Linked DNA regions of Sus scrofa. The protein of the gene in region 1 interacts with the protein of each later gene in a pairwise test. Links are inferred from orthologs where the notes say so. Each region holds a gene or a part of one and is shown in the gene's direction. Other genes may lie near its edges. The genes, in order: CREB3, SFT2D2, ORMDL1, ATP6AP2, AQP1, CD82 and PTPN9.

Region 1 (4,226 bases):
TAAGATGAACACCACGGGAGTGTTAAAGGCAAGCGGAGTATTCTGAAAGTGGGTATGCATGACGGGTTGGGCGTGAACTGCAGGGCCAGGGAGGAGAGTTGCAGAGGAAGGCTTAGCATCTAGGGAGTGAGGGAACGGGGAGGCAGTAGGACTGAACTCTAGAGGATTAAGCCATCCCCTTCTCCCATGGCAAGCTTCCTTGGCCGGCCTTTCCCTTAACTGACCCACCAGGCCCCTCTCCCCTAGATAGTCCCCCATTTACTATGAAGCCTAGCACATCTCCTGGGTCCCTAACACCTTCCCACCTCCTACCTTGTAAATAACATGGTCCAGGAACCCCTGCCCCTCACCTGTGGTGGCCACAGCAAGAGCCTTGGGCTTAGAGAGTACAATGCAGCTGGAATCCCAGATGCCTGCAATTCTAGCTGAAGCTCAGAACCCTACCCTGTAATCAGTTTATCATTTCTCTGCGCCAAAGAAGCCCCCACGGCGACAGAGAAACAAGAGCCCTCCCTGCAAAAAAAAAAAAAAAAAAAAAAAAGAGCACCTGCCAATCTCTTAAATTTTACCTGCCTGAGGTCACCTACCCTGACCTCAGCCTATAACCCCTAAAACTGTCCTTAGTTCCCAACATTAACCCCGATCCCAATTTGTCTCCTGATGCCCAATACTGGCTTTAACATTCAGCTCTTTCCCAGCAGACACTTGAATCCAATCCCTGATCCCTAATTTTGATCTAAATTTTACCTTTAGCACCAAATCCCAACCTTACCCCTAGAGCTTGACCCCTGAACCTAAAGATCATGTGTCACTTGATTCCTGAGTCACTCCTTCCCCGTTTTACCCCTAACACTGGCTATGCCAACGGTCTCTAATGCCTAAAACTGGATCTCGAGCGCCGTTCCTGCTGCTGACCCTTAACCCGACCCTGGACTCTAACTCTGGCTTAGGCTGACCATCCTAGAACACAAAATAATGTCCTTAATCCAAACTTTACCTACCCAAAACGGACCTGACTCACGCTCATAACTCGAAATTTAAACCCCTAAAGCTAACCTTGGCTCCTAAACCCAATACCACCTAATCCCCAACCCACCCAGGGCGCTCCTACCCACATACCCGCCATCAGCCAACCTCAAAGCCGATCCCCGCCCTGCGTCGCACTGCCACCCACTCTTCACCCTCCCCCAAACCTATCCCAGACAGGGGGCTGCTCCCAGCAAGGGAGCAGAAAAGCCTCCCGCAAAAAGGCCTCTTGAACTCCCAGCCCAAGCCGAGAGACACTGGACGCTGACCTCTCCAACAGGACCCGAAACAGGAGACGCAGTCAAGTCAGGGGCCCCGCCCGCCTCCCGGGCCCGGCCTTGCGGCCCCACCCTGAGGCCCCGCTCGCGGCAGACCGGCCTACCTGCGCTGCCCGGCTCTGCGCCCCGCCCGCCGGCCCGCTAACCCGCTCGTTCTCCCGGTGGCTCTCGGGCTCCGGCCTCGCCCTCCCTTCGACACTCTCGGCCACTTCCGTCCGGGAACGTCCCCCGCCCGCGGGCGGCGCCCTGGGCCCGCGCTCTATGGTTGCGGGGACCGCAGGAAGCTGCTCTGGCCCCAGATCTCGATGCTCAGGAGCCGGCCGAAGACCCGCAGCCCCTCCCCGGCAGGAAGCGAGGGTGCGGCGCAATCCCAAGAAGACGCCCGAGCTGGGCCCGAGGTCCCGGTTGCGCGGTAGTCCTTCCTTTTCCTAGCCCGGGGCGAAGGCGGAGGCGGAGGCGGAGGCGGCTCGCCGGAATGCCCGCCCTCGGGGAGTGAGGGGCTGGCAAGGACGTCCCCTCTATTTGCATAGTGCCCGGGACGTGGCGTGCACCAAGGCCACTTCCGCGTCCGGGGAACTCCAAGTCCCGGGATGCCTCAGGGCTCGGTGCGTCACTTGTGTGGTGTTGGAAGTGGCTAAGACTCAGGCTGGGAGGCGGGTCGGGTTTGTGAGCCACCTCCGGCATCCAGGAGGAAAACCCCGCTTGCGGAGCCCATAGGTGTGGCCCACTGACGATCGGTGGGAGTCGTGCGTGGGGTTGGGAGTTGACTCCGGGTGTACTTCTGTGTTTCTGCTCATCCTTTCCGTAGATGTCTCATATGGAGCTGGGGTTGGACTCGGGTGACGATGACTTGCTGGGCTTCCTGTTAGAGGAAAGCGGAGGTCTGGGGGCGGCGCGGGACGAAGCCTTGGAGGCGCCCCTGGATTGGGAGCTACCACTTTCCGAGGTGGGGGGGGGCTCTGAGTCCGGGAGGCCCCGGGCGGGATGGAGGGGTGTCTCTGAGGCAGGGGGTGGTGATCAGTCAAAGTCTGTTAATCTGAACCCTGGGCAGGCATTGAGCGATTGGGACGTAGAGGATTTCCTGAGCTGCCTGTCGAGTCCCCCAGCATCGTTGACCGATTTTAGCCACTCTGACCCCTATCTTGTCCACCATGATCACACCTATTCCCTGTCACAGGAGTATGTCTCCATAGATCTAGGTGAGTCTGATAGAGGTGAAGTTTGGGGGAGGGGAGGGGACTATGGACCTGGCTGTTTATACTTTCCCTCTTGCAGATAATGAGGATTATGAGAAGGAAGGGGCCCAAATGACTTCCCTGCGTGTGGAGGCGCCCGCAGAGCAGGTAACTTGACTTGGTTTACAGGACGATTATTCCCACATTGACCGGGTTGGGGCAGGAGTCCGAATTTCTCTCTGACACCCTCTTGCACCTGTGCTGCCCACCTCTTGGAACCCCAGGAGATTGGTGAGCTGATACTGACGGAGGAGGAGAAGAGGCTTTTGGAGAAGGAGGGGCTTACTCTGCCCGGGACACTTCCTCTCACTAAGGTAAGACTCCCATTCGAGGAGCAAAGACTGGATGCAGGGGTTAAGTCCCTAGTAGGCTGACTCTGTTAATTTTATATCAGTAACTTGAGAAAGGACTGAGGCGAGATGCTGAGTCCAGCTTCGCAGGTAAGGGCTGAGGAACGGGTGCTGTAAAACTTGAGAAAAAGTTAGCATAAAACAAGACACAGAGACATTTATCTTAATTGCGGGTGGGAACTGGGGGACTCAAGGTCTCAGGGACCAAGAGCAGTGCCTCAAGAAACCACACTGCTTTTATTGTGCTCTTTAGGATTACATCAAGTGAGGAGGGGGTTGTAGGTGCAGGACATAGTTCTTTTATTATTTTAAAAGTCACATAGCTGGTAGCTGGTTAAGCTTTTATTCTGACCTTTAGGCATTAACAATCACTAGCATTGAAGAAGCTGGATATTAGCTCTCTGTGCATAGCACCTAGAGAATTATCATTGTGCTTCCACAGACAGCATGCCTATCTGCTGCAACCTGGCATGCCTAGGTTTGTACCTCCTTGCTGATGCATATTCTGCTAACGACCGCTCATAAACCCCCTGGGGCCTTGAGGCGCCTCTTCCTCTTATTTTAACAGGACGTATCATGCTGTGCAAACTGCATGCCTAGACCAACGCATTATGTCCTCATTCAGCTGACCACGTGAATACTTATGCCTTTTGGTCTTTGTTCTTAAGCTTAAATTATTTACTAGCATGGTGACTGTTTTTCAAGCTGGAATATGGGGTTAAGTAAAGCAGGACAAAATGGAATTTTCAGCATAGAAAATAGAAGCAAAGAGGCTAAGAAAAGATTGTAGAAACACGTCTCCTGACAGCGAGAGATTGGCACGTTTGTTGTTTGTAGGAAGCTGTAGTTAATATGCTGGATGCCGGGGCAGATCCTGGTTTTTGTAGGGCTTGTACAAACTTTGGTGTTCTCTTTAAGTAAGAATTCAAAATCATTAGTGTAATATTGGTATAGGGATTTGCAAAGTACTGTGGGAACAGGGGGGTCCTGACACTTAGATTTCACTAGTTTTACACTAATCCACCTATGGCTGAATGGTTAAGTTTTAGAATTCATCAAGGCTGGACTAAGGAGTATAACAAAAATAAATGTAAAATCCTGAGTTTTGCTTCAAGCAATGAGTGGCAGCTTCACATGTGCGGTATTGTGATACTATGATGAAATCAATATTTACTGATAGAAAGATAAAGAGACTTTAATTTCTTAAAAGTACAGTAGTGTGATATGACTACTAAGAGTGAATAGGCCTGGAGTTCCCGTAGTGGCGCAGTGGTTAATGACTCTGACTAGGAACCATGAGGTTGCAGGTTCGATCCCTGCCCTTGCTCAGTGGGTTA
Region 2 (4,178 bases), on another chromosome or scaffold:
GTAGTTATTTAAATTCACTCAAGTCTGACACAGCACTCCTACTCTTTCAATAAAAGTTCTCCCTTGTGTGTGTGTGTGAGTGAGAGAGAGAGAGAGAGAGAGAGAGAGAGAGAGAGAGAGACAGACTGCAGGAAGATTCTCTAGTGGGTGCTCCTGGTAACCTCTCTGTGGATTTGTTTTTCTAAGCTTATTTCATCTTTTTTTTTCTTTTTTATGGTTGCACCTGCAGCCTATGGAAGTTCCTGGGCTAGGGGTTAAATCAGAGCTGCAGCTGCTAGTCTACACCACAGCCACAGCAATGCTGGATCTGAGCCCCATCTGCAACCTGCTCTGCAGCTTGTAGCAATGATGGAATCCTTAACCTACTCAGCAAGGCCCGAGATTGAACCCCATCCTCACAGAGACAATGTCAGGTCCTTAACTCGCTGAGTCACAACAGGAGCTCCTAAGCTTATTTCACCTTGAAGTTATTTTCCCAGATATTCCCCAGCAAGCAGTTTGAGATGTGAGCCCACATCCCATCTCTAGCACTTTCCTGGGAGTTACATGGATTCTCCAACGTAGAATCATTAGCGTTGGAATCCGGTTTGAGGTCAGTAAAACAAACAATCCAAGAAACACAAAACAATCTAATATGTTTTTCCTCACTCCTTGACTCAAGTTCTACCTGTTCAAGTTTTTACCCAAATCATTCTTCTTGATGCATTCCCAGCTAGAATTACAGTAGTATTTTTCTTGTTTAACTTTTACACAAAGTATGTTATAGATATGATTTACTCCAGTTGGCCTCAAATGCTTTTTTTTCCCCCAGCTGCACGGGAGGCATGCAGAAGTTCCCCGGGCCAAGTATTGAACGGTGCCACAGCAGTGCGCGGCAGTGACAAGGCTGGATACTTAACCAGCTGAGCCACCAAGGAACACAAGTGCCTTTTAAACAGTTATTTCCAGTGTAACTACAATCAGACCGCGGATTTCCCACATCGTTTGTTTACAAATCTGCATCCATACCACAGGAAGTGTGGGGCGAGAGGAGAGGGGGTCCAGGATTCACCGTTTTTGTTTCTGCAGTGTCTCGCACGTGCTAGGGCCTCCGTGTTTGTTGACTGAACCTACGAGTACCCCGGCAGGGTAGCCGGCTCGCATGCGCAGCCTGGCGCCGGACTGAAGTTTAATCATGCTGGGTGGACCTGAAACCCAACCTTCCTTCCCGACCCGCCTTCCAAGACCCAAACCAGCCGGGTAAAAGCGGGCGGGGCGAAGGCGGGCGCAGAGCTCGCCGGGCGCCTGCGCTGGCAGCCGCCAGGAGGGCAGATACCTGGGCGGGGCGCACCGTGGTGGGCCGGGCGCACCATGGTTGGCGGGGGCGGGGCACACGGAAGAGCCTGCGCCTCAATCAGCTCAACAGGTGGCTGGCGAGTGGCTGGGGCCGGGGTGGACCGGACCTGCCATGGACAAGCTGAAGAAGGTGCTGAGCGGGCAGGACGCCGAGGACCGGGGCGGTCTGTCCGAGGTGAGTGCGCCGCCCTCAGGCCGCGCCTACTTGGCCCCGTAGCTGCCGCCCCCCGCCCGGGTCTCCGTGGGCCTGGGAGGGCGCTGGGGCCTGGGTGTCCAACAGACACCGGAGCCCCGCCTCCAGCTACTTGGGCGCCTGTTGCTGACTAGTGGGAAAGGTGAGCAGGACTTCCAAGATTTCTTGGAAAACAGCTCTGCCCCTGTTCCTTCCTCCTCCCTTACAGGGCTCAGGACCCCCGCGCTTCCCCGACTCTCCATCTGTCAAGTGCTGGGGCCCAGACACTTTGAGAAGGGCGGTGGGCACCTTTTTTGTTCCGGATCCCTTCAGCCTTGTGCCGCGTCCCATTCCCCTTCGCCTCTCCTGCTCCCTCAAAGGGAGGGCCGCGCTGGAGCAAAACCTAGAAACATCTGCAAAGGGGAGGGTGACCATCCCCGACCGTCAGCCCCATCCCTACTGGCATGGGAAAGGGCTTTAGGGCTGGGCTAGCCAGGGTCTCCTGGCAGCCTGGCGGAGAGAGTCCTCATTGGGTAGAAACCTGGACTGGGGGCCCAGGTGGCCATCCATCCCTGCTCGGTACCCACTGCGCGACGGGGCTTGTGGCCACGCCCCGGTGCTGCTCCTGGCTGCCTTCCTGCCCAGTTTAGGTTGTGGGTTGTGACTTTCCCAGCCGACCTTGGGCCTCTTCTTTAAGTTAACTATCTCCGGGAGAACCATGAATTCTTGGAGGGCAGGGCCCACATCTTGCTTCTCTGTGCACACGCTGCTTGCACATAGACCCCAAGGCCGCCCAGGACCATAGTGTGGCCGCTTGCAGGCTTGTTTGTTTTTATCAGAAAGGTTTGGTGGAGCTGAAGCCTGAGTACTAAATGCCCTATGTTCTAGAGCCACGCAGAATATTTATTTTCTATTTCTAGTGCTTTCGGCTTTGGTTATTTATTTATTTTCCTTTGTAAATTATAAAGTGACATGTATCTTTACTCTGGTGTATTCCTTGGGGCCTCAGTTTCCTTATCTGTAAAATGAAGAGGTTGAACAAGATGGCTTCTTTCAACTCATAACCTAAGTTTCTCCTCCAGTTTTCATCAGTGTCTCTAGTAGTTATCTCAGCATGCTTCTTTCACCCCCTTTTGGGGTTGCTGATTTTTTTCTGAGTTTTGTGTAACTCTGATACCTCCACCCCTTCCATGAACTCTCAGAACCCTAAAACGTGCTCTCTTGACTCTTCTCCTTGAAGAGGTAACACTGTAGGCATTGAGGGTTGTAGGAATTGGAGTTTAACTTCTTTTGACATTTTAAAACAGCCTGTGGATTCTTTTAAATCTGTTGCCTTTATTAATTGGTCAAGGCTCAGGAGTAATTTCTTGAGTTCCTTGTTCTTGGTTTTTGGCTTCTGTTATGAACTCAGGAGCCAAACCTCAGATTGTGCCTAAGAAAACTTAGGTGGCCAACAGTTATGCTTATCTAAAGCTTTCTGCTGCATGAACGGTCCATAAGATTTTAGAGCAGCTGTGGTTCAAGAGGGAGCTGTTTTGGAGTTCCCGTCGTGGCGCAGTGGTTAACGAATCCAACTAGGAACCATGAGGTTGCGGGTTCGGTCCCTGCCCTTGCTCAGTGGGTTAAAGATCCGGCGTTGCCGTGAGCTGTGGTGTAGGTTGCAGATGCGGCTGGGATCCCGCGTTGCTGTGGCTCTGGCGTAGGCCAGTGGCTACAGCTCCGATTCGACCCCTAGCCTGGGAACCTCCATATGCCGCGGGAGCAGCCCAAGAAATAGCAAAAAAAAAAAAAAGAGGGAGCTGTTTTTCTGAGGATTCTGGGGTTGGGGAGGAGTTCAAAGGTGGGGATGATGCAGATACTGTGATTCAAAAAATCATCATGAAGTGGTAGATAGACTCTACGAGTGAATGATGTAGTACAGATTGAAAACATAAATGCTGAGTTTGGTTTTACGTGAAATGGTGAATGCTTTGTGTTGGACACAATGAAGGGCTTTGAAGTGTAAGCTCGGGAATGTATTAAATATATTTTAGAAAGACTAGGTGGTTCTTTCATGTTCTAAAACACTGCTGTTGGTTTCCTCTTTCTGAGTATGAGATTCCTGTGTATGTACATCATTGTGTGGCACTTCGTGAGACCCCAGCTCCCAGGAAGCATTTCATGACCAGCTGAATTCACTCTCAGGGTTGTTTTTTGGCTTAGTGTTTATTTATTAAGTCAGGGCCTCCTTGAAAATGTTGGTAATGACTTGATTGTCTCACATTTCCCATAGTTTTAAGGTTGGCAAAGCTGGAGGATTCTATTGAAATTTCTATTTTGGGTGGGAAGTTGGATTGGGGGGGGTGCTTAAAGTCTTTTCACATTCAATTTTAAAAGCTGTCAGACGTCACCAGAAGTGATTGCTTTAAAAAATTGTTGTTCTTTCTTTTTTTTTTTTTTGGCCATGCCCACAGCACGTGGAAGTTCCTGGGCCAGGAATTGAAGCTGCACCACAGCAACAACCTGAGTCACTACAGTGACAACCCTGGATCCTGCTGCACCACAAGGGAACTCCATGAAAAATTGTTCTTCTTTTAATGCAAACAATAAAAGTATGACTAGTTCTGTTTCTCCTGCATATGAAACTAGGGAATTATAAAACTTGCTTGGCAATGTCTAGTCACAGATGGCC
Region 3 (4,213 bases), on another chromosome or scaffold:
CTCTAGCATGACCTCTGGAACATAACAAGCATTCTACTGTATGTGTATCAAATGGTATATTTTGAAAAGCGGAAGGCTTAGGAGTCACAGCACAGAATGTTTAAGAATGTCAGGAATCAATCTTCCATATTTGCTGAAAGAGTGTTGATGATCAGGAAAATCAGTTAAGAACAGTGAACCTAAAAAGAAGTAGAGATCAGAGTCATAGACTTTAAGTAGAATATAATGAAACAATTTATTTAAAGAACATAATAAATCTAACCCAATCGGTTTCACAGAACCGATAGGAGTTCCTGTGTTGGCTCGGCGGTTAACCAATCCCACTAGGAACCACAGGGTTGCCGGTGCGATCCCTGGCCTTGTTCAGTGGGTTAAGAATCCGGCGTTGCCCCGAGCTGTGGTGTGGGTTGCAGGCGAGGAAGGGACCCCGCGTTGCTGGGGCTGTGGCGGAGGCCGGCAGCTACAGTTCCAATGAGACCCCTAGCCTGGGAACCTCCACATGCCGTGGGAGCGACCCTAGAAAAAGACAAAAAAAAAAAAAAAAAAAGCAAGATATATACAGTCAACATTGTCTGACAACAATTTTGAGATGTTGTTGAAAGCTGTACTGACAAGGTAATAAAATTAGATTTCAAACATGATGCCAAATAATCTGATTTTTTTTCCTCCCCATTCTCGAAAAGGATCAATTCTTGGTACCCACATTTCCTCAGCATATACAACAAGGACCTGTGTTCAGCATGTAGACAGACCCAGAACACCAGTAAAAATTATGCTTAACTGAAAAGTTTGCTTTCCCCACTTGCATGATGCCACAACATACAACATTATAAAAACGTCACACTCACTCATAAGACAGGCTGTTATGGCTTTGAGGGAGTAAAGTTTCTGCCTGGCAAACAACTTTGAGACCTACTGCCAGAGGGATCTGTGGAATGGGCTGCAACAAAGGCCTAAACACGATTTAGTCAAGAAATGCCAAACCAAGCACTAAGGGGCCCACACCTGAACGGAAACCGCTTTCCACGTGTGCGCGCCCGCGGTCCCGTCTTCATCCGCTTCCCGCCCCTTGAGGGGAGGAGGGGTCACCCATGGCTGCCGCCAGCGCTCTCGCCCCGACCGGGACAAGTTGAGGGTAGGAGGCTCTCGCGCCTACGACCATATAAGATTGGATGCCCCTTAGCCACACCACACTACCTTCTTACTCGTTCAAGGTGGGCAATTAACAATCCAAGAGCGGTCCTGGCACCGTCCCAGCAGGAGCCCAGCCCCGGCCCCGCGGTTCTACGACTCAGCCCCAGCGGGCGCGCGGCGTGGCGGGCTCCAAGCGCCGTGCCTTTAGTCCCGCCCTGCCGGGCGAACGTGGGAGTGGCACCGCCCTCAACCAATCCGGTGGCAGCGCGTTCTGTTCTGAAAGCTTTCGCAAGCTGCGCCGCCCCACGCGCCGCTGCGCGGAGGCTGACCACAAGCATTCGGCCGGAGGAGACGCCGCCGCTGCCGCGGACTTCTTACGTCTCTGAGCCGGCCGCCCAAGAGTGCGGCGGGTGAGTGGGAATGAACGGCCGCCGAGGCTGTGCTGCTGCCTGTGGCACTGGGAGCTGCTGGCGCGCCTGGGTCGGCTTTAAGGAAAAAAGTGGACTCCGGCTTCGTTCGCGGCACCCTGTGTGGCTGTGCGGACCAAGTGGCTTCCAGGGTTGCCCCCCAGTCCCGGTCCGGGCCCTGACTGGATGTGCCGCTCGGAGAAGAAAGGGGCGGGGGTGGGGCGCTGTGGCAGTAGCAGCAGCCGCTTTTGCTGAACTTCCACCGGCCGGGGGCTCCAGCCGCCGGTGGAGGGCTGCTTGAGACTGGCGGGCGGGCGGGCGGGCGGGAGGCTCCTCAAAGGGGTCGCTGCGGGTCCCTGGTCTTCAGACACCTATAGGTCTTCTTTACTCTGTGAAGTCATTGTTAGTCCTGAAGTGGCGCGGCAGACTCCCAGAAAAGGTTTTCTGGGATAGGGTTGGGTCAGTTTTTGCCTTCCAGCTCAAATCTAAATTTTAAGCCTCTTTCGAGCATCTTTTTTTTAGTGCTATCCTGTTTAAAGTGGGAAAAGCATTTTGAGTGGCGACATTTTCTAAGTAGAACTCACAGCATATAAAAGTAAGCTATGATACACGATGGATATTTAGATTAGAACCAATGTTTACACATTTAAATTGAGACTTTTTTTGTTTCGTTTTAGCATAACCAACTTTCATTACCGTAAGCCTATATGTTTTTGGAGGGAGAAATGGACAATGAACTCTTCAGAAATGCTTGTTGGATGGAGTTATGAGAAATTCCTCTCCCACTGCTAATTACGTAATAGAAAAGAGTTTATGTACTTTTTTTTTTTTCTTTTTAGGGCTGCACCCGCGGCATATGGAGGTTCCCTGGCTAGGGGCCCAATCAGAGCTACAGTTGCCTGCCTACACCACAGCAAGGCAGGATCCCAGCCGTGTCTCTGACCTACACCACAGCTCAGGGCAACGCTGAATCCTTAACCCACTGAGCGAAGCCAGGGATCGAACCGGCAACCTCATGGTTCCTAGTCCAGTTTGTTTCTGCTGCACCACTACTGGAACTCTGAAAAGAGTTTATATATTTTTAAATCAGCGCTGTTCCAAGTATAATGTAGCTCTGCTTCCCCTTGTCCCCAAATCTCAGAAAGAAGGGAAGGAGGGAGGGGGGAAAGGAAGGAAGAAAAGAAAACCAAAGCTTTAGAAAAATTAACTATAATTAAAATGTGTAGAATAAAAACAATTCGTGAAAGAAAGAAAACCAGAGTTTTAGAGAAATTAACAGAGTTAAAATATGTGGAATACTTGTTTTAACCTAATTCTGTCACGAGATTGAGAAACAAACCTTACCCCTTGACCCTGTAAAATTTCCTCCTCATCCTTCTCAGTATTCATAAAGGAGTGATTTGATCTCTGGCTACTCTTTATGAATATAGTATTATATTAGATGTGAGTGTCTGGCTATTCAGACTGGTTGGGTCAGCTTTTTTTTATATTAGTGTATTCAGTTTTTTTTATATTAGTGTATTCTGCTGGTAAATTTACTTCCTTTCACTTTGCTCTCATGATATAAGAAAATATAGGTCTTATCTTCAGTTTGAGTTTTCCTACCCATTATTTCATTTAGTAAAACCAACATGCTAGGAGATGAGTTTTAGGAAAGGGATTTTAACTGTTTATTTTTTTCAACAAGAACTTTAAAAATAAATTTTGTCTTACCTTAAAGTCAAATATTTAGAGTTATTCGTCAGCATCTCCAAGTAGCATATTTTGTACATCTGTTTGTTCTAGTTCAGAACAATAAAGAGAAAAAATAATGTCAGTAACACGTATTTTGTCAGGTCAGAATTAGGAGTGTTCAGATTTACAATTATATATCAGTGTTGATTCATCTCATTGCTTTCCTGCAGAGCAAATATGAATGTTGGAGTTGCCCACAGCGAGGTAAATCCAAATACCCGGGTAATGAACAGCCGGGGTATGTGGCTGACATATGCATTGGGAGTTGGCTTGCTTCATATCGTTTTACTTAGCATTCCCTTCTTCAGTGTTCCTGTTGCTTGGACCTTAACAAATGTTATACATAATCTGGTAAGAATTTCACTTTATACTAAGCACTTAAAACCTTAAGGTTTAGTAGTTTTTTCAGGGACTGTGTGGATGGAACAGGCAGTTATTTAATGGATACAGTTTTGTAAGATGAAAAAAGTTCTGGAGGTGGATGGTTGCATAAAAATGTGGATGTTTTTAATACCATTGAACTGCACACTTAAAAATGCTTAAGATGGTACATTTTTATTTAAATATATTTATTTTTTTCTTTTTATAGCCCACTCCTGTGGCATATGGACGTTCCTAGGCTAGGGGTCGAATCAGAGCTGCAGCTGAGGCTTACACTACATCCATAGCAACACCAGATCCGAGCTGCATCTCCAACCTATGCTGCAGCTTGCTACAGCCAGATCCTTAATCCACTGAGCTAGGCCAGGAATAAAACTTGCTTCCTCACAGAGACTTCATCGGTCCTTAACTCACTGAGCCACAATGGGAAATCCTGTTATGTGTATTTAAACACAGTTTTTTAAAAAGCTTAAAGTTTTATGTTATAAAGAAGAAAGACACGACTCAGTTTTTGAAAAACGGTTTGATTGAGGTATAAGATAAAATTTGCCCATTTA
Region 4 (3,500 bases), on another chromosome or scaffold:
CCAGGAGAGCGAATCCCAGACGTGGCTGCATTATCCATGGGCTTCTCTGTCAAAGAAGTATGTGTATTTTTCAAAAATATTTGGAGCTGATTCCGAATGCATTTTTGTTGATTTCTGCCCAAGAAAGCAACGGGCAAACATAGATTCAGATTACAGAAGTAAAAAAGCTAATTTGTAGTCAGGGAGATTTTGGATAAGTTTTCCAAGCTTGGTTATGAAAACAAATCATTATAAAACATTAACCATGTAATCATTTATTCATAGTAGTGACACTGTGTGTGTAAGAGAATGCATCTGTCCTATTGTTAATAGGTTGTACAGTTTTATTGGTTTTTTTCCAGTATGCATGATAGATTTGTGTCTTAGTTCAGGCTGCTATTACAAAGTATTCGAGACCGGGTGCTTTATAAACAACAGACATTTATTTCTCACAGTCCTTGGGGCTGGAATTCCAAGAGCAAAGTGCCAGCTTGGTAGGGTTCCGGTGGAGGCCCTCTCCGGGTTGCAGGCTGCCAACTTCTTGCTGTACCCTCGCAGGTGGAGAGAGCCTGAGAGAGCCCTCTGGAGTCCCCTTTATAAGGGCTCTGTTCCCATCCCTAAGGCCCCTCTCCTAATACCATCATGTTGTGGGGGTGGGGGTATAATTTCAACATAGGAGTTTTCAGGGGACACAAACATGCAGTTCATTACAGTTTGTTATGAATGATAAAATGTATATGCATCTTACCTGAGTTTAGGGAAAGGGTGTGGTCAGCAGCTGTGGGTAGCTTAGGACCTTGGTTTCCCACAATTCAGCCGTAAACTGTTGTGGTAGGGAGTTGTTCTGGCTCAGTGGTAACGAACCCGACTAGTATCCAAGAGGATGTGGGTTCGATCCCTGGTCTTGCTCAGTGGGTGAAGGATCTGGCGTTGCCTTGAGCTGTGGTATGTATAGGTTGCAGACACGGCTCGTTTCCTGCGTTGCTGTGGTGTAAGCCAGCAGCTACAGCTCTGATTCGACCCCTGGCCTGGGAACCTCCATATGCCACAGCTGCAGCCCTAAAAAGCAAAAAAAAAAAAGAAGAAAAAAACCTGTAGTAACTGGCTGCTTACATGATTATAGACCAGTCAGCATGAGAGACCTTGAAGCTCAGAGCTGGAAGAAAGGAGACGGGGTTTGTTCTGTCTTCCTATCTCCTCCCACGTTAAAGTTCGGTGCTTTTGAGGGGGTTTCTAGATATCATCAGTCACTCAAAAGAACATTCTTCCTAGGTCCTGAGTGCCCTTGAAGCCAGAAGCAATGCCTGGGAACTGCTTCTCTGCTGGGCCTTTGGGTGGAGCCCCTGAGCTCCTTGCCTGAACCTGACCAACTGTTTACATTAAGGATGAAATTTGTACCTGGTTCTTGACCAACTTAAATTTGACTACAACTGGCGGTCAGAAATAATTATTAATAAACTGCTATGAGTTACTTTCAGCAAGAATTTTGTTCTCCTCATAAAGAGCCTAATCTAAAGAGAATGTTTCTATTTTTTTTGTCTTTTTTTTTTTTTTTTTTTTAGGGCTGCACCCACAGCATATGGAGGTTCCCAGGCTAGGGGTCCAATCGGAGCTATGGCTACCGGCCTGCACCACAGCCACAGCCACACCAGATCTAAGCCACATCTGCGACCTACACCACAGCTCACGGCAACGCCGGATCCTTAACCCCCTGAGCGAGGCCAGGGATCGAACCCACAACCTCATGGTTCCTAGTCGGATTCGTTTCCGCTGCGCCATGACAGGAACTCCTGAAGAGAATGTTTTAATGTCAGTCTTGCTGTGTCACTGTGAAGGAGAAAAGCGGTGCTGTAGATAAGGGCAAAGAATGATGCGAGGGAAGAAAATGTCCATGGAGAAGGGAATGTTTTGTAATCTGGAATTTGAAAAGTATCTACATTTTGTTTACTTGTCTGCTTTTTTTTTTCCCATAGAAGGTTTGAGATGATTTATTAGACTTTATTGTTTCAAGTTTATAGAAGCTTAATAAGAAAATAAAGGTAGAAATCAGCATCCTCAATTAGGAGGTTGCAGCTCCTGCCTTAAATGAGACGTTTGCTGTCCCTGTGGGTTTTCAGTGTCATCCCAGACCCCTTAATGCTGCTTGGTAGGTGTTATTGGGGAAGTGGTTTCCTGAGTTGACAATTAAGCACAGTTTCATGCTTTTCAACCTGTAGGACCTTTCTTGGCCGGGCCTTGCAGTGGGTAACCTGTTCCACCGTCCTCGGGCTACCGTGATGGTGATGGTGAAGGGAGTGGACAAGCTCGCTCTACCCCCAGGCAGCGTCATTTCATACCCTTTGGAGAATGTGAGTATTTGTTCTAAAGGATTAAAGGGATGCATTTAAAATTGTGTCTTGTCAGCTGTCATTATGGATCATGTTCTAAAGCATACTTTTTGTCTTTTTTTTATGCACTGATAAGTAAAATACAATTTTTTTTTGATTATGTGATGGTTGTAAAGGTATTGAGACTTGGCTGTTTCCTCTGGCTGAGCATACTTTCTGAGGTAAGAGGTAGAGAAAATGCCCTACTCAGAATGGTCAGAGGCTTGAAAAAGAGAAATCAGTTGAAGGGTATACCCTGCTAACATTTTCTTAGGCATTATTTCATCACTTTGCTTTCAGAATTTTATCCTTTTTGTGCAAGAAGGAGACTGGAGGCCATTTTGCTGGCTCACTTATTTCTTCACTGGCCTTTGAGGCAGTAAGGCTGACTGAGCTGTTGTGAGAGGCCCTCCTTCCACTGTAGGTGGATAGAAAGACATCTTCACATGTACCACTAAACTTGAAAGCAGGGAGGGGGGACACACAGGTGGCAGATATGAATAGAAGATTGAAATCCACAGTGGTGAGCAGGAGCCGAAGGTGAAATTGTGTTCCCTGCAGGAAAGCAGGGGCTCTCAATGCTGTTTTGTTCTTGAAAGGAGGACTGTCAAAACCTCAGCTGTCCCTGGGCTACCTTAGAGGAGCTGGGTGGCCACCCCTGGTTGTGGGACCCAAAGAGGCCTCTAAGAGAAGTTGTAACTCTGGGCTTGTGCTGTGCAGCATCTGGTGCTCCAGATTCACACAGCCCACCCCACACAGACACTTCCACAGCCCAGGGCTCCTTTGCTAAAGAAAAGAATTGAAGAGGAACTGAGTTTACCAAACACTTGAAGGAAAAAAAATGCCACAAGAAAGTCATCAGGCGCAATAGACAGAATTCATCCCCCTAGAACTACAGATAATAATCCAGTCTCTAAAAGAAATGTGAAAATACATATATTAAAGTTGTGAAAGAGTTAAAAGGGAGGGATAGGAACTACAGGCAGTTAAAAGAGTTTTTGATATGTTGGTGCTTTCATTGATACTCACTTGAATATTTTGTAATTTATATTGATTTCTTTAACCCATGAGTTATTTAGAAATGTTGTAACATATGGGTTCTTGCAAAATTTTTGATTTTTCAGCTTCTCATTTCATTGCATTGTAAGACTGGTC
Region 5 (4,108 bases), on another chromosome or scaffold:
GGAGACCGGAGGAGAGGACCAGGGAGGCCCCTCCCTCCTGGGGCAGCTTTGCCCCCAGGGCCCTGCCTGGCTCCTCTTCCCCGCAGACGCACTGCAGCAGCCTGGTGGCCTGGGCCTGGGGTTCCTGACCAGCCTCCGGCCCAGGAGTCCAGGTTCCTGCTCAGTTCACTGGCTGCCGCTGGGCCTCTGGCTTTGGCGCAAGGCTGGACTATGGGGCGGGGTGGGGGGCGGGCATGGTCTTTAGAGCTGCCTCTTCCCTCCCCCTGCCCCAGGCAGTGTCCGGTCCCTCCCCTTTCCCCTCTGCTCTCTCCTCTTGCTCTTCTGGATTCTCACCTCTGGGTCCAGTCCTGTGTCCCCTCTTTCCAGTGGTCTTTCGCGCTTTGTGCTGTCTCTGTCTCTCCTTCTCAGTCCCCAGTGTCTCCCTATCACTGTTTGGGGATCTGTTCCTTTCACTTCTGCTTCGGCTGATTCCACATCCCACTGTCCTTCCTCCTCCCTCTGTCTCTCTGCCTCTCGTTGCCTCCTTTGCCTCTTCCCCTCTGGGCCCCGGTGTCTCTTCCTCTCCCTTTCGTGCTCCCACCTCTCTTCCCCCTTTCTCTCCTCCCCTTTCCCTCCGGGGCTTTCCGGTCAGGTTGCCCTTCCTCCTGTCTCCCCAGTGGTCCACCAGCTTCATAGGCTTCGAGAGGAAAGTCCTTGCCTGCCCTCATCTTCCCCAGCTGCCGCAAGATCATTCGCTCAAATCAGAGTAGGGAGCATCCTAGCCTGTCTCAGGCCTGCCCTGGACCACAGAGTGGGGGGTGGTCTGTAGATGAGCTCTCTGTACCCCCTGATGCCTCTGTGTCCCCATCAACTGAGGCCTGGCCGGTGGTCTGAGGGTTCTGGGACATTCCTATGGTGACATTTAGTGGCCAGGTATGGGAGGCGCAGACTGCCGCTGGGGACCCCTGGACCTGTGGACTCCAGACTCAGGCCTCTCTGGGGTTGGATGGGGATGGCAGACCAGCAGGGTCATGGTGCCCGCCTCTAGGAGGGCAACGTCCACCTGCTGAACCTAGCCGCTCACCCGCCCCATCCGGAGCGCCTGGCTTTGCCCTCGGGCACCCCCTGCGCTTTGCACACAGGGCAGGGACACCTGGATTTCTCTGGCCCCCTGAGTGGGGCCAACTTGGAGGAATTTCTCAAAGCCTATTAGAGAAACGCTGCCTCCTGCCTGCCTCCTCGAGCTGGGCAGGGCTGAGGGCGGAGGGAGAGAGGGAGGGAGGGGAGAGAGGAGGAAGGGAAAAAAAGTTGGCAGGCCGACAGCAGAGCTGTGTCTGCATCCATCGCTGAGAGGAGGCCCGTGCAGTGTGGGGCGGGCCAGGAGCAAGGAGAGGCCTTCCTCCCTTTGTGCTCCCCCCCCCCGGGGGGGCCCTATAAATAGGCCCAGCCCCGGCTGTGGCTCAGCTCTCAGAGAGAGGCGAGCACCAGGCAGCCGTCTCAAGCCAAGCCCCCTGCCAACATGGCCAGCGAGTTCAAGAAGAAGATCTTCTGGAGGGCGGTGGTGGCCGAGTTCCTGGCCATGACCCTCTTCATCTTCATCAGCATCGGTTCTGCCCTGGGCTTCCAGTACCCCGTGAGGAACAACCAGACTTCAGGTGCGGCCCAGGATAACGTGAAGGTGTCGCTGGCCTTTGGGCTGAGCATTGCCACGCTGGCCCAGAGCGTGGGCCACATCAGCGGCGCCCACCTCAACCCGGCCGTCACGCTGGGGCTCCTGCTCAGCTGCCAGATCAGTGTCCTCCGGGCTGTCATGTACATCATTGCCCAGTGTGTGGGGGCCATCGTCGCCACTGCCATCCTCTCAGGCATCACCTCCTCCCTGCCCGGCAACTCCCTTGGCCTGAACTCGGTGAGTGGGGTGGTCCCAGGCGCCGGGGCTCTAGAATGGTGCTGAGATGCCGCCGGTTTCATCCTCTGCCCACTGTGCAGATGGGGATACTGAGGAACAGAGAGGACGAGAGGTTGCTGGAGGTCATGCTCAGTTGACCTGGAACTCAGCTGTGCCTGGGTCCAGAGCCCTTTTTCTTCCAGGCACTGTGGGACACGGAGACCCAGAGCGTAATGGTCTTGCCAGTGTCCCCTGCGGGCCTCTATTATGGGAAATAAGCTCTGGAGGCAGCTAGTGGTTGGGCCAGCAGCTCCTCACCCTGGTTTCTTGCTCCCTTCCACCCCAAGCCCTCCCTGTGCAGCAGCTGCCTCCCCATGCGGCCTGGACCCCAGGGAAACTCTGTCTGCTGTCCCCCGCCTCCCTGCACCACAGGCCGGGCATGTGTGTGGGTCCGTGACAGTGTGAGCAGGACTCCCCTGGGGCTGCTCCAGCAGCCCCACATTCGCACAGGTCCCCAAACCAACTGCCTTGAAGGAAAAAGCTCCTCTTGCTCTTCTGGCCCCAGGTGGGGGACAAAGATGGGGGTGAAAACCCTGTCTGGACAGTGTGCAGGCGGTTTTCTTGGATTACAGCAAGGGGCAGGGGCGGGGCAGGGCCCTCTCACCCCCTCTCTGGGTCCATTCGCGGTGGCCGGGCACTGAGAGGTGTGGTGTGTGGGTGGGTGTGAGCCGTGTACGCGCATGGATGGCCACCCTCATGGGTCTCCGAGCCCATGGAACCTGGGCACTCCTGTGTGAGTCTTTTTTGGAAGCGTGTCTGTGTCTGTGAGCCCGTTATACTGCTGGGCAGGCATGTGTGGGGGCGAGTATGTGCCTGCGTGTGCCCACCGCTCTCAGACTAAATGGGGCCCGGCCTGGGGGCACTCAGGATAAGCAGATGTGGGTGACCCAGCGGCAGCTGCAGAAAAGAATTCCTCCTGGGCCGCTTAGCACAGCTAATTGGCTGTTGGCGGCAGTTGCCTGCTGTCGCAGACCTGGGCTTTTCCAGACCTTCAGCCAAGTGCAAACTCAGACCTGGCTTGGGCCACAGCAGGGGGAGATTTGGCCTGAGAGTCTGGGTAGGGCTTGGAGGAGGTCTTAGAACACCGCAGCCGAGGGGGCGTTGCCACAGGGAGGGAGCGAGGCCAGGGAGCAGAGAGAAGGGATCAGGTGGGGTGTCGGCTGGCAGGGCCTGGGCAGGGCAGGCGGGTGTGGGGACAGTAAGAGAGGGGCCAAGAGCCCTGCAGAGACCGCAGGGGGTGATCAGAGAAGCAGCTCTTGCTTCCCAGTCAAAGTTCAGCTCCTGGTGCTGCGGCTCGGGGAGGCTTGGCCAGCTCCGGTGCGGAGGGCAGCTGGCATGAGCCTGCCATGGAGGGATTAGCACTTCTTGTGCCACAGTGACACCTCACCCAACCCGGGGTTGAAGATTAGCCCTGTAGACTGGAGTTTAGACTTTAGTCGAGAAAGAGGTGGGCATGGTGGCTGTGAGGGACAGAGCTCCAGCAGGCTGCGTCCCTCCAGGTCTATCTCTCCAGCGGGGGCAGAGCCGGGCAACATCGGGGAGGGCCCGCCGGGTAGGGTTGGGATCACCTTGGGGCTTAGCTGGGCAGGATGGGCGTGGGGATAGGGTCCTCCTGGTGGGAAGCTGAGTCTCCCAGGCCTCTCGGCCCCCTCTTGACCCTCTGTCTCAAGGACCAGGCAGGCAGGTGTCTCTAAGCTGGCCATCCCAGGCAGACGTGGGAGGGCGGGCTCCTCTGTGTCATCTTGATCTGGCCACGCCCTCCTCCAGTGTCCCGTCCCCTCTCTGGCCTTCATTTTCCAGAGTTGCCCCAATACCTGAGCCAGGCGGGTGGCAGATGGGGGAGAAAAAGGGACAGCATCGTGTGGGGCCCAGCCTAGACTCAAGTCCTGGATCCTACCAGCTTGTTGGGTTTCCCCGAGGCTGAGAGCCCTGAGGCTCCAAGAGGGGACCTGGGTCTCTGGATATCTCCTGGCCACATGTGTAGTACCAGCATGCTCACTCTAGGTCTTGAGTTTATCACTCTTCCCAGGGCGGTCTGGCTAAGGGGAGCCCAAGAGGGGCCGTGCTAAGCATAAGGGCACTGAGCACTGTGGCGGGACCCAGGGCAGCCCTGTCCACACCGTGGAAGTTTGGGGTCTGGCAGGGCACAAACAGAGAAAGCATCCCCGCCAAGGGCTCCCG
Region 6 (4,236 bases), on another chromosome or scaffold:
CCAGGTGTTGCTGCTGCTGCTGGTCCAAGGACCATGCTTTGGGAACCACCTCGCTGGGCTGGTGTCCAGCTTCCTGCCCTACCCCACCCAGGCAAAATCAGCATAATCATACCTTCCCCACAATGGCGTCCTTATGAGACGCCGGTGAGATAATGGGAGCGAAAGAGCTTTGTCAGCTGCACAGGTGAATGGCTCTGGAATAACGCAGAAACCAGAGGCTGATCCCTGGGGTCTGGGAGTGTGGAGGGCCAGGAGGCAGGTGGGGGCACCGCAGCCAAAGACCTTTTGCAGCCCATCCTAATTCTAAGCCCCTTCTTCTCAAGAAGAAAACCAGCTTCTGAGAAGTGGGCCAGGTGCCCCTCCTGCCACCCCTGTCTCAAGCTATGCCTCCTCCCTTACCTCAGGCAGTCTGCTAGCACTGCCCCAACAAGTAGCTGGTCCTGGCCACTGCTCTAGGGGCCAGTCCAGGCAAGCTGGTGCAGCGTCAAGCCTTGCCTACGATTCAAGGCCAGGGGGTGGATCCTGCTTACCTGATCCATGCGAGACTCAGAAGCCATGGCTTCCCTTATCTAAGCATCAGGTTGCTCAGTAAAATAGGTGCAACATTTGGGGATAGAGTTGTGCGAATTCAGTGGCCAGTTCTTTTATTTTTCTAAGCCAGGGCTTGGCATAGAGCAGGCCCCTGGTGAGAGTTCAATCGGTGGTAGCTGTTAGTATTTGGAAAAAGTGCCTAGGTCCAAGCCACCTCCTGATAGAGGCCGGGACTTGGAACGCAAACCGCTCCCGAGCCGTTCCCCGGTTGCACCCGGATACGCCCGCCCTGGAATGCCAGCGTGAAGGCCCGGAGGCCTGCACGCCCAGAGCAAGGTTGCCAGGGCAGGGCAGGATTAGGGAGGCGCTGAAGCGGGGAAGGGGCGTTGCTGGGGCGTGGCCTCAACCTAGGGGGCGGGGGTACACCCAGAGAAGAGGGATTCGGCGGTGGGGGTGGTGGAGGGAGGGTCTAGGGAGGGACGGGAAGGATGAGGCAGGCCTAGGAGGGGCGGGACCGTTAGGTCCCGCTGCGAGCGGGGCTTCTCACCTAGCAGGGGTGGAGCGCCGAGCCGGCCAGACAGGCCTTTATCGAGGCAGAGCCGGAGGAACACAGAGGACCCGGCCCAGGAGGCAGGCCCAGGGGTCGGCCCCCTCCCCAGAGTGACCTGGGGCGGGGCAGACCGGGATCGATTTGGGGGCCGTAGTGGGGCGGGGCAAGGAGTGTAGCTCCGCCCCCGCCCCCTCCGGCGGGACACGGGGCGGGGCTGGCGGGTTAGAGCGGAGAGACCATAGCGGGCGGGGCCTGATCCGGCCGGGTGCCAGGCCACATTCCTGCAGGGTGTGGGGGCGGGGCTGGCGGTCCCCACGTCCAGAGGCCGAGGGGGCGTGTCGAAGGGGCGTGGTCACTTCAGGGGCGGGGCTGGCCGAGGCCGTTGAGTTCCCAGACGACCGCCGGGAGGGGGACGACCAAGAGACCGAACCCAGGGCTGCGCGGTCAGACGCTAACCAGGGCGCGAGCGGGAGACGCCGGGCTTGCAGCGCCGAGCAAAAAGCAGAGCCAGCAGGTGAGAAACTGAGGGGGGGGAGGCCTGTCGGCAACAGCGAGCAAAGTTAGTTTTCGCCCCAACTTCCAGAGGCCGCTCGGGCAGCTTTCTCGGAGCAAGTGACAGGTTGGGCCCCGAAGGCAGCTGGTGGGTGAGAAGGAGCTTAAGTTCCCGGGTCCTGACCCCCAGTTTTCTGGCTCCGCCGTGCACCAGCTGTGTGACCCCGGGCGCGTCCCCCCACCTAGCTCTGGACCTCTCGGGTTCCAGTAAAAGGAGGGGATTGAACCAGGTGAACCTTTCTCACTGAAACTCCGGAAGGTGAGGCTGGCAGATGAGAGCGGACACAACAGGTCTTCAGATCGCGCCGCCCAGACTAGAGTTTGTCTCCTTGCAGAGTGACACGGAGCAAAGCAAACTCACTGCAAGAGTGAAGCGAATTGCTTTAAAGGTCACACTAGTTCCTCGGATGGGACTTGAAACCCACGGGTCTGGGGAAGTGGGGGCAGAGGGGGGCGGCTGAATTCAAAGAGATATCAGCCTCCCCTCCCCCCCCAACTCTGAGAGCCCACTAAGACTTGAGGTGGGAAACTCAGCGGGTGTTTGGCCCTTCCCAGGGCTTTTCCAGGTGAGCTGGCTTGGGAGGCCCCCGGCAGAAACTAGGGGACAAATTCTTATCTGGGTGAGTGGGGAAGACAAGGGAAAACCCCACCTAACTTTGGGCCCAGAGTCAAGCCCAGAAGCCATGTCTCTTGCTACTTGCCCTGGGTCCCTTCCTTGGGCTGGTGGTTTCTGTCCCTGGTGGTGGCAGGTGCTCTGTGCCAGGGTCCTAGGAGCTGGGCAGCCTAGTTCAGTGGTCAAGGACGGGCCCTTTGGATTCCACTCCCCTTTTAAGCTTCGGTTTTCTCATCTGTAATGTGGGGGTAGTGATGATACTCAATGGTAGTAGTGAGGACTTAATAGAATAATACATGTAGGAGCTCCCATCGTGGCACAGTGGTTAACGAATGTGACTAGGAACCATAAGGTTGCAGGTTCGATCCCTGGCCTTGCTCAGTGGGTTAAGGATCCGGCTTTGCCATGAGCTGTGGTGTAGGTCGCAGACGTGGCTCAGATCCCGTGTTGCTGTGGCTCTGGTGTAGGCCAGCTGCTGCAGCTCCAGTTGGACCCCTAGCCTGGGAGCCTCCATATGCCATGGGAGCGGCCCTAGAAAAGGCAAAAAAAAAAAAAAAAAAAAATAGAATACATGTAAAGCGCTTAACAAGGCTCCGAGGCACCCACCGAGGCCTCGCTGTATGACAGCTGCTCTGATGTGGATGAGCAGGTGATAGGCTGGCTTCTTGCCTGGGAATGAGGCTGTGTTTGGAGGCCAGACGCTGGTGACAGCACCTCCTGACCTTATGAGAGCCAGACCTTGCCATTTGCCACCAGCATCACTTTGTCCATTTGCAGATTGGGGAGTGTGTACAAGTAGCTGAGTTTTCAGTAATATTTCTTACAGTTGTTAGGTGTCCAGTTAAATAAACCCCCAAAAATGTTTACTTTGCACTTACTAGACACTAAGTGGAGCTAGGGGATACAGAGGTGAACTAGCCAGTCCCAGGTTCTGCCTGCATTTTGAGTTGCTGACAGTGAGGCCCTCATCCCCACTGTGTTCTGCTGGAGAGAATAACTCACACCCAGAGCTCAAGGCCAGATGAGATTTCATGGATTCGGACTGCTCCGGTGGCCCGAATCCAGCTTTTCCATTGCGTGCTTGGCTCGGCGTGGAGATGAGGGGCAGTGTAGGTACCTGCTATCTGTTCCATCAGGGTTGGGCGTCAATGGCGGCTCGTTCCTTGCATCTCCTGGGGAGGTGAGTGCTACACTTTGGAACCTGGTGGAAAGCTCTATGGGACAGAGTCTGATCCAGAGGCTGTACTGTATGGCAGAGACAGCGCGTGTGTATATATGGGAGGGGTGGTGCTCAGGTGAAGAAAGACACTGGAGAACCCAGGGTCTGGGGTAAAGGGGCTTCCTGGAGTTGGTGAGACTTGAGCAGGACTTACTGCCCCAGCTGGGAAGTCCCAGTTGGGCTTGGATTAACGGGCCACAGACTCCCCTCTCCAAGCATTTGGGTGGCTTAAGATTAATTAGAGTTCAGTCTGGTGGGGAGGGAGGGGGGTCAGAAGGTGTTGCCTGTGTGGGGAGATGTTCATTTCAAACAGTGCTTGGTAAACATCTTCTGGAAAGTCCTCCCCCCCATCCCCCCGCCCACATGATGAATGATGGACCAGACGCTCTGACCCCATCCCAGTGGTCGGCCGTCGGGTAAGGGGCTTAGACAAGGAGACCAGTGCCTCTGATAGGAGATAAATGAAGAAAGGGCCAGAGGGATCCTCACGAAAGCTCCATGGAGGTGGTGGAGTTTGGGATGGACCTTGAGGATTGCGAAGGTTCCAGCAGCCACGGCAAAGACCATGTCTGGGGCAGAGGAAGATGCCTAGGGGAAGGCGAGGAGCTCAGCATATTCGGGGGAGTTTTAAGAAACTTCTCAGTCTGGCTGGAGAGATGGGACTGGGTGGAGATGTCAAGGGGGGATGGTAGGTTGGCTCCACTCATGGAGGACCTTGAATGCCAAGGTGAGATATTTGGATGCGTTTTCTAGAAAGTGAAGGCCACTGAA
Region 7 (3,500 bases), on another chromosome or scaffold:
CACCTTCCCAGGGAGTGCCTTCCAGAAAACCTGGGTGGATATGTCAAAATCGACCTTGCCACTTGGAATTTCCAGTTTCTATCCCAGATGAATGGCCACCCAGATCCCTTTGATGAGATCATCCTATTCTCCCTCCCGCCAGCCTTAGACTGGGACTCAGTGCATGTTCCAGATCCCCATGCCATGACCATCCAGGAGTTGATGGACTATGTTAGTACCAGGCAGAAGCGGGGTATATATGAAGAGTATGAAGACATCCGTCGTGAGAACCCTGTTGGCACTTTCCACTGTTCCATGTAAGTAGAGAAGATTTAGGCCAGTGATCACTTGCCAGGGTGCTTCTGGCATGCATTGGCACAATTCCTTCCACACCTCACCTCCTTAAAAGAGACTCTTCCGTAAAGTGATGTTAAGGAGCATCCCTCTCACTTAGATGATGGTTTCTCTCATCTAGAAAGAGGCACCTCTTTGTGCTTGTTGCCAAGAGCCTGTGCTCTGAAATTTCTGGAAGTCTTTGGTACCAGCAGTAACTCTGTACCAATGGAAACATTTTTGATATTTTCCTGACCTAGGATCAAAAAGGTAGATTATCTATTCTTGTCCTTGTGTGATCTCTGGTCCTTTCACTTGGGCAGTTTCTCCCTAGAGCATTTTTAGTATTACATCACTTTGTAAGGAGGGGTGCTGATACATTTAAAATAATCCACTCTCAGTAAGAGAGAAGAGTTGTCTTTAGGAATTTGTATTGTGGGATTTTCCTTCTACCTAAATTCTGTAACTGATTTATAACTACTTGACAATTATTATTGGCAGTAGAGCATTGATCATTTTTAACTGCTACTCTCCTTTATCTTAGCATGTTTTCATTGGCTGCAGCAGAATTTTTTTTTTTTCTTTAAAGTTTTAAGATCTGTTTGTTGAAAATTAAGGAATCTCTCCCCAATTGGTCCTAGGCTCAAGTTTCAGCTTAGCCAGAGCTCCCCCGATGACTTACCCAGGGTATTTCCCTTCTTTGTACCTCCGTTTACCTGTTGTATTTGATATTAGACTCACTGATATCCACTTACTCTTTTGTAGCTTTAATGTTTTAGGAGTAATGATTCTGTGGTACCTTTTTCCCCTTAAAATTCTTTTTTTTTTTTTTTTTTGGCTTTTTTTTTTAGGGCCTCACCCTTGGCATATGGAGGTTCCCAGGATAGAGGTCTAATCAGAGCTACAGCTGCCGGCCTTTGCCACAGCCACAGAAACACAAGATCCGAGCCATGTCTGTGCCCTACACCGCAACTCACGGCAACGCCAGATCCTTAACGCACTGAGCGAGGCCAGGGATTGAACCTGCTTCCTCATGGTTGCTAGTCGGGTTCATGAACCACTGAGCCACAACAGGAACTCCTCCCCTTAAAATTCATATCCAGTTTAGTCAGTGTGCTGTAAAGAAGATATGCAGGGAGTGAGTAAAGAGGAAAAATAATGAGATAGGAAGTAGGTAAAGGAAATAAAAGAAGCAACTGAGGGAAAAAAATCAATAAGCAGAAGAATAATGGAGAGGAAATAGAGAAAAAAGAGAGCAGAGCATATATCATGTGGGGAGAATAGTCTCTTCTCCCACACAACTGTGTCTTCCTTACCAACTCAACACCCCTATATGCATCTAAAGCTTTTTCCTAGCTGTAGCAGAGGATGCACACTTATCCTGGGGATTCCTGACCTGCTCTAGGTGCTCCTGCAGAGGGGTCCTTGAGGTGTCACTTCTACCACAATTCCCCTTACCCCCTGTTACAAAAGTAGGTTTGGAGGAGTTCCCTGGTGGCTCAGTGGGGTAAGGATCCAGGGTTCTCACTGATGTGCCTTTAGTTACTGCTGTGGCATGGATTCCATCCTGGCCTGGGAACTTTTGCATGCTTCAGGTATAGCTGGAAAAAAAAAAGTGGGTTTGAATTGTCCTCTGCATCACTCAAGCCAGCTATCGTGTTATAATCAGAGAATACATCCCAGTCCTATGGGAAGAACTTCCCAGTCTGTCTTATTTATTTACTTAGTCATGCCACAGCATGTAGAAGTTCCCAGGCTAGGGATCCAACCCATGCTTCAGTTGTGACCTGCTACACAGCTGCGGCAATGCTGGATCCTTAACTTGTGCCAAAGGGAACATCTGCCTCTTTATTTCTTTTTTATTTTTTTACAGTTTTATTCAAGTATATGAATGGAAACATTCCACTTCAGGAGTTAGAATCCAGAATCTTCAACAGCTTCAGGCTTCTGTCTTTCACCAAGTTCCAGTAGAAATACATACACAGAACAGAATGTTTCCACTGGAATTCTAGATTTTAGAGTACATGTCAGAGTATTCACCGTTGTCCAGGATGCCCGTGGACTAAGAGACTTTTTCCCCCCCTACACCATTCTTTCAAATTATTTTTTTTATAGCTTAACTTTTTATAATGAGATAATTATAGATTCACATACATTTATAAGAAATAATACAGAGAGATCATTTGTAGCCTTTCCACATTTATCCCATGGTAATATCTTCCAAAAGTTTTGTATAATATCACAGCCAACAACAGTCCACCAACGTTTTCCAGATATCCCTAGTTTTAGTTTGTGTGTGTGTATTTAGTTCTTTGCAATTTTTATCACATGCATAAGTTTGTGTATAAAAAACCACCACCAAGGGAGTTCCTGTCGTGGCTCAGCGAAAATGAATCCAACTAGTATCCATGAGGATGCGGGTTCCATCCTCACTCAGTGGGTTAAGGATCCAGCGTTGCTGTAAGCTGTAGTGTAGGTCACAGACGCAGCTAGGATCCTATGTTGCTATGGCTGTGATGTAGGCCAGCACCTGTAGCTCTGATTTAACCCTTAGCCTGGGAACTTCCATATGCCGCACCTGTGGCCCTAAAAATCGAATCAAGGAACAAACATAAACAAAAAAGCAAAAGAAAACCACCATCAAAATGTAGAATTCCATAACCAAATACCTCCATTCCACCCCTCCTCATCCCTAACCATTGGCAACCACTAATCAGTTCTCCATTACTATAATTTTGCCATTTTAAGAATGTTATTATATACATGCGATCATACTGTATGTAACCTTTGGGGATTGCCTTTTTTTCACACAGTGCAATTCTCTGGAGAGTGCCCCAGGTTGTTATTATTATCAAAGTTTGTTCCTTTTAATTGCTGAGTAATATTCCATAGTATGGGTGTACTATATTTTGTTTACTGTTTACCTGTTAGAGAACATCTGGGTTGTTTCCAGTCTCTGGCTATTATAAATAGAGCTGCTATGAATATTTGTGTCTAGGTTTTGTGTGAAAATAAGTTTCCATTTCTCAGGGATAAATGTCCAAGAGTGGGATTTCTAGGTCATACAGTAACTGTTTAGTTTTATGAAAAACTGCCCAACTGTACCATTCTGCATCCTTCCCAGCAGTGTATGAATGATCCATTTTCATCCTCACCATTTCATCCTGGTGAGGATGTAGTCACTGTTT

Evidence for each region.
Region 2: the proteins of CREB3 (region 1) and SFT2D2 interact in a two-hybrid assay, tested with the Homo sapiens proteins (2 studies listed by BioGRID and IntAct). The two-hybrid records come from large-scale screens. The link is inferred for Sus scrofa from reciprocal best matches to the Homo sapiens genes CREB3 and SFT2D2.
Region 3: the proteins of CREB3 (region 1) and ORMDL1 interact in a two-hybrid assay, tested with the Homo sapiens proteins (2 studies listed by BioGRID and IntAct). The two-hybrid records come from large-scale screens. The link is inferred for Sus scrofa from reciprocal best matches to the Homo sapiens genes CREB3 and ORMDL1.
Region 4: the proteins of CREB3 (region 1) and ATP6AP2 interact in a two-hybrid assay, tested with the Homo sapiens proteins (2 studies listed by BioGRID and IntAct). The two-hybrid records come from large-scale screens. The link is inferred for Sus scrofa from reciprocal best matches to the Homo sapiens genes CREB3 and ATP6AP2.
Region 5: the proteins of CREB3 (region 1) and AQP1 interact in binary tests that used the Homo sapiens proteins (3 or more experiments, as listed by UniProt). The two-hybrid records come from large-scale screens. The link is inferred for Sus scrofa from reciprocal best matches to the Homo sapiens genes CREB3 and AQP1.
Region 6: the proteins of CREB3 (region 1) and CD82 interact in a two-hybrid assay, tested with the Homo sapiens proteins (2 studies listed by BioGRID and IntAct). The two-hybrid records come from large-scale screens. The link is inferred for Sus scrofa from reciprocal best matches to the Homo sapiens genes CREB3 and CD82.
Region 7: the proteins of CREB3 (region 1) and PTPN9 interact in a two-hybrid assay, tested with the Homo sapiens proteins (2 studies listed by BioGRID and IntAct). The two-hybrid records come from large-scale screens. The link is inferred for Sus scrofa from reciprocal best matches to the Homo sapiens genes CREB3 and PTPN9.

The regions. Positions count from the first base shown.
Region 1 is NC_010443.5:236,449,147-236,453,372, forward strand, and holds the start of CREB3 (cyclic AMP-responsive element-binding protein 3), read left to right. Parts: upstream 1-1,426; 5' UTR 1,427-1,894; coding exon 1,895-1,909; exon of another isoform or gene 1,910-2,021; intron 2,022-2,112; coding exon 2,113-2,250; intron 2,251-2,355; coding exon 2,356-2,503; intron 2,504-2,579; coding exon 2,580-2,647; intron 2,648-2,763; coding exon 2,764-2,853; intron 2,854-4,226. UniProt on the Homo sapiens protein: Endoplasmic reticulum (ER)-bound sequence-specific transcription factor that directly binds DNA and activates transcription. Plays a role in the unfolded protein response (UPR), promoting cell survival versus ER stress-induced apoptotic cell death.
Region 2 is NC_010446.5:82,731,633-82,735,810, reverse strand, and holds the start of SFT2D2 (vesicle transport protein SFT2B), read left to right. Parts: upstream 1-1,378; 5' UTR 1,379-1,447; coding exon 1,448-1,510; intron 1,511-4,178. UniProt on the Homo sapiens protein: May be involved in fusion of retrograde transport vesicles derived from an endocytic compartment with the Golgi complex.
Region 3 is NC_010457.5:94,374,532-94,378,744, reverse strand, and holds the start of ORMDL1 (ORM1-like protein 1), read left to right. Parts: upstream 1-1,413; 5' UTR 1,414-1,544; intron 1,545-3,254; exon of another isoform or gene 3,255-3,435; intron 3,436-3,445; 5' UTR 3,446-3,452; coding exon 3,453-3,626; intron 3,627-4,213. UniProt on the Homo sapiens protein: Plays an essential role in the homeostatic regulation of sphingolipid de novo biosynthesis by modulating the activity of the serine palmitoyltransferase (SPT) in response to ceramide levels.
Region 4 is NC_010461.5:36,277,654-36,281,153, forward strand, and holds part of ATP6AP2 (renin receptor), read left to right. Parts: coding exon 1-57; intron 58-2,195; coding exon 2,196-2,327; intron 2,328-3,500. UniProt on the Homo sapiens protein: Multifunctional protein which functions as a renin, prorenin cellular receptor and is involved in the assembly of the lysosomal proton-transporting V-type ATPase (V-ATPase) and the acidification of the endo-lysosomal system.
Region 5 is NC_010460.4:42,073,942-42,078,049, reverse strand, and holds the start of AQP1 (aquaporin-1), read left to right. Parts: upstream 1-1,308; 5' UTR 1,309-1,498; coding exon 1,499-1,888; intron 1,889-4,108. UniProt on the Homo sapiens protein: Forms a water channel that facilitates the transport of water across cell membranes, playing a crucial role in water homeostasis in various tissues.
Region 6 is NC_010444.4:17,800,373-17,804,608, reverse strand, and holds the start of CD82 (CD82 antigen), read left to right. Parts: upstream 1-1,436; 5' UTR 1,437-1,595; intron 1,596-4,236. UniProt on the Homo sapiens protein: Structural component of specialized membrane microdomains known as tetraspanin-enriched microdomains (TERMs), which act as platforms for receptor clustering and signaling.
Region 7 is NC_010449.5:58,140,676-58,144,175, forward strand, and holds part of PTPN9 (tyrosine-protein phosphatase non-receptor type 9), read left to right. Parts: coding exon 1-296; intron 297-3,500. UniProt on the Homo sapiens protein: Protein-tyrosine phosphatase that could participate in the transfer of hydrophobic ligands or in functions of the Golgi apparatus.